Linked DNA regions of Caenorhabditis elegans. The protein of the gene in region 2 interacts with the protein of the main gene of each other region in a pairwise test. Each region holds a gene or a part of one and is shown on either strand. Other genes may lie near its edges.

Evidence for each region.
Region 1: the proteins of sdpn-1 (region 2) and F09F7.5 interact in a two-hybrid assay, tested with the Caenorhabditis elegans proteins (3 studies listed by BioGRID).

Annotation. Positions count from the first base shown.
Region 1 is NC_003281.10:5,545,087-5,551,965, reverse strand, and holds F09F7.5 (CRIB domain-containing protein), read right to left. Parts: upstream 4,857-6,879; 5' UTR 4,835-4,856; coding exon 4,749-4,834; intron 3,794-4,748; coding exon 3,707-3,793; intron 3,653-3,706; coding exon 3,589-3,652; intron 3,541-3,588; coding exon 3,371-3,540; intron 3,219-3,370; coding exon 3,135-3,218; intron 3,088-3,134; coding exon 2,082-3,087; intron 1,666-2,081; coding exon 1,516-1,665; intron 958-1,515; coding exon 853-957; 3' UTR 751-852; downstream 1-750. Other genes in the region: F09F7.6 (Ferritin), read left to right, coding at 1-3, 534-644; putative kinase-like protein D1044.1, read right to left, coding at 5,740-5,986, 6,128-6,240, 6,314-6,508, 6,832-6,879.
Region 2 is NC_003284.9:7,994,881-8,000,163, reverse strand, and holds the start of sdpn-1 (SH3 domain-containing protein), read left to right. Parts: upstream 1-2,068; coding exon 2,069-2,085; intron 2,086-5,283.

The DNA.
Region 1 (6,879 bases), on a different chromosome or scaffold from region 2:
TTGGTAAGGTTTTCTTTAATTTCTGTGAATCATTTTGAAGAAAATTTGAAATTAGATTGTCCATTAGCACCCTTAAATACATAGTTGAATTATGAATTGAACATGGTGCATCGACATTTTTTGAAAAAACAAAATTTTCCTTTTTCAATTCACGGACCCGATGCACCATGTTTTACGCGCAAATTATGTTGCGATGGAAACAGTACTTTATTCCACAACCTCAAATTTAAAAAATTGCAATAGTTAAGCCCGTTTTCGGAAAAAAATAGTTTTCAATTTCTCTGAAACGTCAAATTATAAAATTTCTCGACTACTTAGCAAAAACTATTCTGTACGCTGGACAAAATGCAAAATTCAAATGACAAAGCACTAGGATTTTGAGTTTCCAAAAGGCTGTAACTGAACATATTACTCAAAAATTGCAGTTTTACGGGGAATTTTCGAGATTGTAGATCAGTTAACAACTTAAAAAAGATAGTGTAGGCCACAAAAGATTATCCCATTCCACCCTTTAAACCCTTTTACTTTTCCAGAAAAACGTATACAACGAGGAATTTGTGACCCCTGCAAAACTCCGTTATCTCCGTGATGATCTGGAAGCCGCCGAGGAGCATCTGAAAAAGTTGCTTGAAACCTCCCATTGACGCGTTTGATCGAAACGGATTCTGTACATACCTTCCAAATTGTTATTTTTTGTGCTGTGAAGAAATGAAAATAAAATATATTGCTTTTTTCGCAAATCGAATCGGTTTTATTTGAGAAATTTATTTTTAATGGAATGGTGGTTTGGCACTGGAATGTAGAGAGACAATTGACTAGAGTTTAGTTAAGAATTTAAGTAAAACAAATAATTTAAAATCGAGTAATAATGAAATTATCGTCGTCTTCGGATTCTGAATCTGATGGGATCATTGCGGCTGCTGAAGGTGGTGGAAGCATGATGAAAGCGTCATTAATCTGAAAATAGTGGGAATTTGAATAATTTTTTGAAAATTAACAAGTGCCAGGAAATAGGACAACTACTGAAGGCTCCCCAGTTAATGATATTTGGTACAAAATCTATTTAGAAATATCTGCTAGGGTATGCAACCTGCCTCGTAGGAAATCTTAACCTATTAGCACTATTTTTGCTCATTACTTGGTTTGATCGATCGTTTGCTTAAAAATGTCTGCACGTACCTATGACAGAAAATTGTATTGAGAGCCCACTTATACATTTTGCTCAGTCTCAGAGAGAAACTTGGGTACGTGCGGACCCATGACCCACCATTCCAAAGAAAAATTTTGTCTAAAGAATTTCTCGAATTTCTTGCTTCTCTAAATCTATTTCTACTGGAAATTCGCAAGTAGTCAGCTGCTTCTTTTTGTTTTCGATCACCTTGTGATCCTATGAATGGCAGTTCCAATCAACAAAAGTACTTTCTCGGAAAAATTGGAAACTAGGGGTAATTAGCAAACTATTTCAAATTCCAATAAGCTTATCTTGGCGATTGATCTTTTATCACTACTAGTTACCTTGTCTTTTGTCGCTTCCACCCGATCTTCTTGTTCATCATTTATTTTTGTATCTCCCACCACTTGAAACTCCTCCCCAATCACGTTTTCGCCCTTTATCTCCTCTTCGACATTTTCTTCTTCTTCTTCTTTTAACGGTTCCGTTGAGACCTGCGAAGAAAAACAAATGAAGAAGAACATTGGTGATTGTTGACTTTTTGATGTTTGTATCGGTTTCATTTAAATAGATTTATATTTGTTCTAGAGGGGAGAGAATAAATTATAGAATCAGGTCAAAGGGTAGCGGAACTGATTTGCTTTCGAAAATGTGAGAATAACTGTGAAAATCGTGAGTACGACTAGATCCAAGTAATTGGAGCAAATATCGTTTAGGTTCAGGAGCACCCGTTCTTGAAACTTTTGCCCCCCCCCCCTCTCATTCAGATTCACAAATATCTATTTTATGGTGACTCATCAAATGGTCAGAAATATGATTCAAAAGTTGAAAGTAATACTTTAATTCCGTAATTCCTCTCTTAATGTTGCACCTACATAACTGATCTTGTGGATCACACAAGAAAGCTTACCGTCTTTCTGCTCCTCGGCTTTGGCACGGGCGGTACAAACTCTTCTTCAACTTCCCGATCCCTTTTCAGAACTTCCACATCATCATCCTCCCCAACCGTCGACAGAATACTTGACACAGTATCTGCATTTGATCTTGACGAGGTAGTGGAAACATCCGTGTTCCCAGATGAAGACGTCATTCTTCCGATGGACATTGGCATTGTTGCTGACTTGATCCTCTTATCATATAAGAACCTGGCAATTGCAGGAGGTACTCCACTTTCGTCACTTGAGCGGAGGTCTAGCGCATTTTGCTTTGTCAAGGCTCTTCCATTGATTAATACTGTACCAGGAGCTTCGGGAGCATCAAAGCTTGGAGCTTCATATGAGGGAGGTGGTCGGTTGGGAGGCATACTCACAGGCCGAGCGGAGAACGCAGGAATAAATCCTGGAGCTTGGAATGTTGGAGAGGAGAGGTCTGGAGGGAGGCTTGGAGCTTTTGGAGCCGGTCCTTTTTTCTTCCGAAGTCTAATTGTCTCTGGAGCTACCCCCAACTCATACTTCTCCACCAAATGCTTCATAAAAGCCCGATCTTTTTCTAGTGCAAGCGTCGGATAACCCGATTCGTCAGTACTGATTGTGGATAATTGATCCCTATCGAGATCATCCAGGTCATCCAACCAATCGTCAAGCTCATCCAAGATCTTTCTCCCTTGAACGGATGTGCTCCGAATAGTTGACATATAATTCGAGTCATCCGGCGGACTCGCCGGACTCAATATCGGTGTCTCCTCCTGATTCTTCGGGATTGCCAAAGGCCGATGCAACGGAGAAAGTGTATTGAGAGGTGGTGTACTTTTAACAATTGGAATGCAATCATCGAGACCGAAACTAAAAGCACCACCAAGATCACCCGGTCTTTCGATCACCAGAGAGTTAGGCTTCGGTGCAACGATTCGGTCGGCGGTTTGGATTTTTGGAGGTGGAGCTATGTGTGTTGAGATATTCGAAGTGTGGGAGATTGACCTGAAAATTGAAAAATTTTTAAACTTCAGGGTCCAATCAAGAAATACCGAAAAACTACAGGTTGCTCTGAGATTTCTGATGTTTCCTCCTCGTCGTCTTGGGCGTTGAAGATCAAATTCGGCTTGCTGTTCCTGAAAGTTTAATTCTCAACCAACTTTTGATTCAGTTGTCAAATTTGAAAGCGCCAGTAAGAAACTTAATTCTAAAGGAAGTACTTCTTGGAATTGAGGTAAAAAACTAATTCAAAAACTGTGTTGTTAGAAAATGTCATACAAATACTCACTGTGGAGGAGGAGTAGGGGGAGCTGGAGCCTTATAATTTTTCTTGCTCGGACGTGGTGGAGCAATATTTATGTATTGGTGGGATGTTGGTTGATTCTCGTAACCTCTGACAACTTCAACCTCTTCTTCACTTTTTGAAGCTGATGGGAAAGCATCATCTAGTCCAACTCTCTGAAAAGTTGAACTTTTTTGGAGAAAAGTAATTAAATAGTTCCCTACATCTTTTTCTTTTCTCTGCGATCGGAGTGTACTATTCGACGAGGAGGGTCTTATGTAGTAGCTGCTGAATTCTTTATTCATCCACATTGAATTCAAGTAATGCTTGTAGATCACAAACCTTTCATTAACCGTATCAATCACATTATCGCTCGTCCGAAGATTTTCAATTTCCGATGATCCCATTGGACCGACATGAGCCAAATGCCTGTAATATAAAAATTGACTATGATAGATTGTTTAAAACCTAAAACACAATGAGTAAAACTAATACGAATGTAACTAATTCGTCTCCGAATCTACTAATTGTAAGAAACTAATTCGTATGAAAATTGTAAGTTTTAGACGTATGGAGGCACGGGAGAGTACAGAGAAGCTGAGTGTCTTAACTCTCCTCCTCTCATATCTTTTTAAACAATTAAAATGGCGAATTGCGAAAAAATTGAGAATTTAAAAAATTTCAGGTAACGTGATTTGTATTATTTTATTTTATTTTTTACGACAATAGCCCATAGTGTAAGATTTAACGCTTGGTACCTATAATATATAACAATGTTTTATCAATTGTTGCTAGTCCACGTGTGATTAGGTACTACATAACAATTTTAAACTTAATATTCATAGTTGACATGTATGCTAGTTTTGCATTATTGTTTCTATCACTGATTATTTTCATGACTGAATTGTTGGCGGTTCCAGCTGTGTCAGCTAAATTACCTAGCAAAATGGTAAGTTTTGTTTCCAAGGTTTCTGATTTCTAAAACTTGGAATTTCAGTCTATGGATGTCAATATGATAATAAAAGAATGTTGTAATGAGATAAGTGTAGAGTGTTGTAAGCCTAATATTTTTGAATAAACTGTTCATGTTTCTAAATGTTCCTCATTTCTAAATGTTATATCAATTAAAAAAAGCACAATCAGCACAATCAATCAGCTATTGGCTAAATCTTGATGAAAGTTATTACACTGTAAAAATGGGTTGGTTAGAGAGTGTGGGGGAGGGGAGAGTGCAAGAACTCCGCTTCTTTCTCGGGCCTAAAACGTCGACATGTCATAATCCCGCTTGAAGCTAACCTACTAATGTTCTTCAAGAACGAATTTGCAGATACATTCCAATTCGAATGTACGGATTAACATAACATCCTCAACTTTTATTCCTTACCTGAAATCCGACGGCAGTGAGATCATAGTTTTATCCAAGTGTTTGTGCTGATTCTTCGGAGGCAGCAACGGCAAGTCGTTGGGCATTTTCCATAAACCCGGTTCCTGTCTTAAATCAAGAATAAAGTAACAAGAGGCAAAAAAAATCAATGGTCAAACCACGCAAGTTGTTGCAAAAACTGTGGAGAACAGACACCCGGAGTAACTGAGAGAGAAAGGGGAATAGAGAAATAACCGATAAAAACGTGTAAGCAGTTGGAAAAAGAGTAGTGATAAGGAATTATTGAGAAGGAGGTGATGTGTTGAAAGAATGATTCATTTGGAATTGGAAGCCAAGAAGTTTGAAGCTCCAATGACACCCGTGCTCAAGCTCCGCCCAAAGACGCTTGTAAGGAATCTTGAGTTTTGTAGCATGGCGGAATATTGAAGCGTCGTTCGATGGCTCCAAAATTTTGACCACTTTCAGGTACTGCATAAAATCAATTGAAAAATGTTAAAATTCAGATTAACATAGAAAAATCTAGCATAGAAACTACCTTTCAAATATTTCAAAAAGTGTTATCAATTTCTAGCAAATAGCAAATTGTTCTTGCTGATCTCCCATAGATTACTCAGATCAAATTGACAAGAGACGCAGCATGTTGAAGTGAAAAAAGAAAACATGTGTCGATCTGATGAGTAATCTCTTGAGGCTAAAAACCGGGTTACGGAAGGGTATTATGTATATGTATACTCTAGTGTTTGACTGCAAGTCGGACGATATTTCGCAATTTGTTTAACATTGATTTACGAAACCTTTGATGTTTTTAATGTATTACCGAAGATTTACTAGGATTATTTTTGTTTCGTAAAGAATTTAAAATGTGTTGTCATATTTGAAATAATGTTTTAAGCAACTTTGTTCATCATCAAAATTTAAAAAATTCCAAATATTAGTAGTAGTTTATTTGTTTTAATGTATAATATAAAAATCTTTAAAAAATATTCTTCTATTACATATCATCCAAAATTCCGATAGTCCGTCTCAAAATCTCCTGAGCTTTGTGTTCCCTTTCGTCAGCTCCACTTTTCAAATCCAAACTCTCATCCTTATACATTTTGTAGTAATACGACAGACTGAATAGTGACGTGGCATTCACAAAATTGAAGTGAGTTCGATAGGATTCTTCGAGTTGGGAGAAAGTGAAGGGAGCCGTGGAAAAATGAGATTTGAAGGTCGTATAGTAGTGGTTCAGGTATCTGGAAAATGGAAACTGACTCTTTGTTTTGAAATGTGTTTTATATCTCCGAACCCGATTTTCAAATCTCGGCCAAAAAGCGGGCCATTTCAATTTTTACTTCTTTCGGTTATTGAAAATGTTTAGACTTAGAAAAAGATACCTTTGAGTATTTGCTCTTCGATTTTCCACTGACAATCCAAGGCACAAAATACGAATAATATCAAAGGAGACGGGACCCTTTGACACGTGCTGGAAATCGATAAATGCCTGGATCTGAAATTATTCAATTTTATTATTAGGAGTAATTTTATATTCTATGACACGTAGTCCTCTTGGACAACTCTACCTTTCCAGTTTCATTATTCCATAGAACATTTGACGCGTTCAAATCATTATGACATATCACCAATGGCATTCCAAGTTTTTCGTTTTTCTTTTCGGAATTTCTAACTCCATCTTCATCAAAAGCATGCTTAACTTCTTGAATTCTTCCGGAGAGCTCCGCCGGGCATAACTTTTCAAAATCAAGGGTGTCGTTGTGCTGGAATTTTGATTCTGAAGCGTGAGAAAGAGCCGCTCTGGTTTTCAGGTAAGCAAAACACCATACACCATATTTACGGGTTGTTGTGAAAAGTCAATTTCCAATAAGTTCCAAAAATATTCGGCCACCAATTTTCGCGGCCATCAAAGAGATGTGCCCAATTTTAAATTCGAAATTTGAAAAGATGTGCCCAGATTGCAATCGATTGCAATATACTCTTTTTTTTTTATTTCTTACTATACCTAGGGCTTCACTGGCAGACAGGCACATTTTCAGGCCTATTTGAATATCTCGTGCCTGCCTCCCTACCGCTCAAAACTCACCAACATCCTGATATAGGCCGCATCATAAAGCACATTTTCATAATTCTT
Region 2 (5,283 bases):
TGTGGTCATAATTCACAAGTGCCTATTCTTTTACAAAAAACCAAATATAAAATATTTCTTACAGCAGCATAGCTATTTGTAAATTGTTGCAACTTCTAACTTCTTTCAAAAAAAAAAACGTTCAAGTTCAATCAAAAACCCTATTTTTCATTGCCAGAAAACATTTCAAGAACTATTTCTAATATCTAGTTTTTCCTCCAGTTTTTTTTTCAGTTTGAAACCAACTTTCAATTTTAAATTGGTCGATGGAAGTCTGAAGATGGTAACTACTCACCCAAAAAACCTAAATCGTCACACCATTACAATCGTTTAGCAGACGCCTTCTTTCAGATGTTATCTCGAAAAAAAAGACTAGTACAGTACAAATGGGAAAAAGAGAATCTTCAGATTTTCAGGAGTGCGTTCTTTAACCTATTATCTAATTAAATTTCTGTGAAAGTTGATCAACATAAAAACCAAACAATCTGAGTTTGCTCAGGTTTTTTGCTTTTTCTGCTGTAATACAAATATTTATGCTGACACAACTCATGATGAATCACGAAAAAATTGTCTTTACATTGCAGATTAGGCACTTCCTTCAAAATAAACTGGCTAAAAACTACAATTCCAGTTTAAGATACGAATTTCAAAAAAAAAAGTGCAGAAAGTATTATAAACAAAATTCCATTCAGCAAAGAAAACGCTTGCATGTTGCGGCGTTGTTAAACAAAAATATTAGGATAAGTTCTTTACAAAGTATCATTTTTCAAATGCAGTCAAATTTGCCAGATCACCTAAATGTTTTCTCACTTGATTATATATTCCCTTGCCCAACACCACCGCATTGTATTGTTCTATTGAACCTTCTTAGATGATCAATTGTTCATCGGAACGTGTTGATCTTCAGTTGTACCAACTGTAATCCGTACCAACGTGCAAACGCTGATCCCATGTAAAAACAGTTACCTCGTGCTTATGACCGTTCTCTTTGTTTCTGTCACTCTTTTCTGCCGAAAACGTGGAGAGGGTGTTGCGTTCTTTTCGAAAGAGCTCGTCATGCTCCAGCACATAAACTGCTCTTGAGCTCATATTTATACAGTCGTGCTCTTTCACTCCACTCTCCTATATCTCTGCGTCTTATTATTGTCCTTCACCCTCTATCCGTCCATCATTATCGTCATCATCATCATCACCCATGTTTTCGTCTTCTATAATTGCCTGCTACCTATGTCCTCGGGGGGGGGGGGGGGGGGGTGAAGGAAAAAGGAAGCAAAGTCATTGGCATCTCAGCTGCCAAGTGGTAACAAAGTGAGGATAGGAATTCAATCCAGCATATTGAAAATGTCTAGTTTTCACCTCTTTTTGCATCTTTTTTTTCTTACCGTTCGCCCTCTTCCAATGCCATCGCCATGTATCGTGTTTCCGTGAGTAGTCTGCGTTTCACAATTACTCATCCGTCACAAAAAAGGCATTCGCGTTTCCACCTGGAAGCTCTTAGATACTTCAAACACTTTGCTTCCGAAAACCATTGACTTTCACTTCACTTTCCTTTCATTGAAACTATCAAAAGTGAATTACGAATAATAAGGAGAGTACCATTTGATTGTGCTGGATATCCTCCTAAGTCTTGATCTTGCTGAAAGTGATTCACAGATAGAAAGTGGCTTGAAATTTCTATGAATACTTCTAATATATGTTTAACGCTGTGCAACTTTGAGACTTTTCTTAGGAACCGTTAATTTTTATGTTTTCTAAATTTAATTTATTTTAAAACAATGTTTCCAGCAAACTCAAAACTATCAGTACTTTCAAAACTCCTCCCTTTTAAAGCTATTTTTCCAATTCTCTGTATTTTTTTTTAAAGTCCATGTATATTTGTTAGTTGAACAACCGCTCAAACAATATTGCCCCACACCTTTGAGTTTGCCCGCCAACACACACTTTCTCACTCGCCTAATCAGTTATTGACAGTGTACATTTAAAGACTTTTTGATCACGTTTCTCACTCTTTCCCAACTATTTTCTCTTGACTTCCCGTGTTCTGTTGCTCCATTCGTCTATTTCACTCGAATCGTCGATCTATTAAAACATGAGCTGTTTACCATGGTGAGTAGATTTTGCCTGTTAATGTTTCTGTTAATCAAAAATATTAATTGTGTTTTTACTTTCAATAAGTATCCGAATAATATTGAATTTTTAATCAAACACATACGTTTTTTTTCACAAGAAATCTATCATAAAAAAATGTTTCGAGTAAACCTACCTAAAAGCAAGGGTGAAGATTTTCGAAATTCCCCATATACATAGTTGACTGTCAGAATTTTCGGCAGTTTTCAACCTCAGTCATATTTCAAACAGTTTAACATTTAACCTTGACATAATTGTTCATTTTTAAAGTTCCGTCAAATACCTATCAATTCAAGACACATCAAGCTTGAAAAGCGAATATTTTACTACAAAATACGTTTATACGTTTTGAAATCTCCAGAAATGTTCAGACATTGCTGTTTTAAAATCTTTTCGCCAATTGACAAAACTTCGATTGCCGCATTTGTAATTGTCAGAAATATCTCACCTCGAAAATTACCTATGTCTATTAAAAAAAACAACCAAGTAAGATGCTACTCAAGGCAAGTTACGAATGTTTTAAAAGCCCTCAGAATTTGCAATTTTTTGCTTGCAAGCTTAAGTTTACAGCAGTACTAGTTTGTAATTTTTCTTCCTATAGACTCTTCCTATGATGTTTTTAACTTTTTTTTTCGACTTGTTCATCAACCTGACTACATTTTAATTGATGCAATTCCATATCAATCATGAAAAAACAAGTATTAACGGATCATCTTGTTGCTTAGGATAATATCAACAGGCAAGAAAGCAAACTAACATAATAAACCATCGAATCTGTGCACCAGCTGGCAGTTCACCTCTCATCACGGTGTAGCTATTTCGCCTACGTCTCGTACTCTCTAACCATTTCCACCACCCATTTCTCCACCATCACCATTCAACATTTTCAAACCATGCCCCGCTACTTGGCGCCTATTGATTTATGATACTCGTTTATGTTCCATTTTGAAATTTCTCATTTTCATTTGAAAACATGTTAGATATGTGACTCACTAGCAATGCCTGTTTGAGCCGCACGTGTTTTGCAAATTAGGCAAACGAACCACTAAGAATACATAAGAAGCGAATATCCTTTACATGTCCACTTGGCATCCCTTCGCTCAATCAACTTCTATTCATTTCTTGTTTCTAAGTCCTTCCGAACGGAGTAGTACTCACAATTAAGGTAATCACAACCCTGTTATCCACTATTGTCGTATGTGTTTCTATTTTGAGATTTTTCCCACAGAAATGAATAGCTTTACAAAGTTGCTAATTAGAAGTAAGTAATTTGAGTCGTGTTTTATGCGATTAACATCATATTTCGAGAAGTACGCGAAAATTTATATATTTGTTTAGTTTGAAACTACACGTAATTTTTGTTTTTGAAAGTTGTGTTTCGTTCTTGTTTAAAAAAAGTGTTATATCTATAAAAATTAGATTTTAGTTTTTAATTTTTAAATTGAAAATTTTTAAGACTCCCTATTCCTTGTAAAAATGTTAAGGAAAAAAGCGTTTTTTTTCACAAATTCATATTTATACATTTTTTTGAGAATTAGTCGTTGTCAGAATTTTAAATTATAGTTTTTTTCTTTTTTTTTTTAAATATCTGTTGTAGATTTTTTGCATTTTATTTCCCTAAGAACTTAATCCTCCTTACACCGTACATAGCCAAAAACCAGCAAGTCCTAATTAATCATTCTCAAAGCTGAGAAATTAAAATTTTAAAAACTATATTTCGCCAGTAATTTTTATGAAAAAAGCCATGAATGCATGTTTGAAACGCTTTGAGTTTAAAACGGGAACATTTTTTGATAAAACATTGCTTCAAAATCCGTAGATCTTCAAAAACCACTTTTTTTGTTGGAAATTTTTACTTTTAGGAATTCTCGTTAACCCTGAACAGTGTTTTCTTTTATTGTTCACAGTCATCATGTAGACTGTTCGAATTTAAAGTTAGCTCAATGTTTTAAATGACACTAATAATAACTTGTTTTGTTTACAAAAAAATGTTATATTTACAAGAAAAAAAACAAACAACATTGACTACGTTCCAACTGCCCAACTCCTGATAATGATGTCACTGTCACCAGAATTCCCATAATAATTCATATCAGTACTCTCTTCCTGGCGGGGCACTTTTATCTTCCCTGGAACCTTGAAAACCGGTTAATTTCATTTAAATCATTCATTTCGGTTGGATTAGATGAAGCTTCCTCTTTTTCTTCTGCTTAAGGAGTGAAACAGAATCCCATACGACTTTTTCATCGTTTCTTCATCACATCCACCTTCTGTTTCACTGTTAGTCTCACCTCACCTTCTCCACTTCTCACACCTTTTTACGATGTTCTATTAGAACATTGTGTATGCGATTGAGTGAGTGTGTATCTGTATATGTATGACCTATGCAAATTCTTTATCCGTTCGCAAAATCTGCGTTTATTAATACAGCGTGCACTTTTTCAAGAAAGTAACCGAAGAAATTGACGAAAAAGGAGAGATCGGGCTGCCTATTTCGAGGACAACACATTCCTTCCATATTCTTCCGTAAAATGTTCAGACACTGGTCCCCTTCTAACTAAAACTAGGTCTTCATATCTATCAAATAAGTTGCGTTAGAATGGAATCTGATTCTGGTCGCTTTAACTTGTACATATTTTCCGATAGTGTTGGTCTTTCAAGTGTATGCCATTAGTAACTTGTTAGGCAATCTTCTAGGACATTGGTCAAAAAGTCCGTTGTTCAATTACGTTAAGCAACGGATGAATACATGTTTTTGTTTTTATTCGGTTTTCACTCACTCTTTTCACCAATCAGCTGTCAAGGTTTCATATTCCTGTATGGAATTTTGAATTCAAATTTTGATTCCCTGTTTTTCAAAATCAAAACAAATACTTTTTTTCAAATTTCGCCATAGGGTGCTATACTTAATTTTGTGTTCTAGAATTGTATTCTTGTAAAAATAACAAATATTTCCCGTATGTCAAAACTGTCTCACTACATTATATTTTTGTGTCAGTTTTGGGAATTATTTTAGGTCAAAAATTCAAAAAAAAAGAAAACGACAAATGTAGTGCACATTCAGATGTTTTCTACATATAAATAAACAATTTAAAAACAATTTCTGTTTTTCCCGAAGTTCAATTTTCCCTACCTACAGTTTTAGTTATATTTCAGTCTTTGGTTGTATTGTTTTTT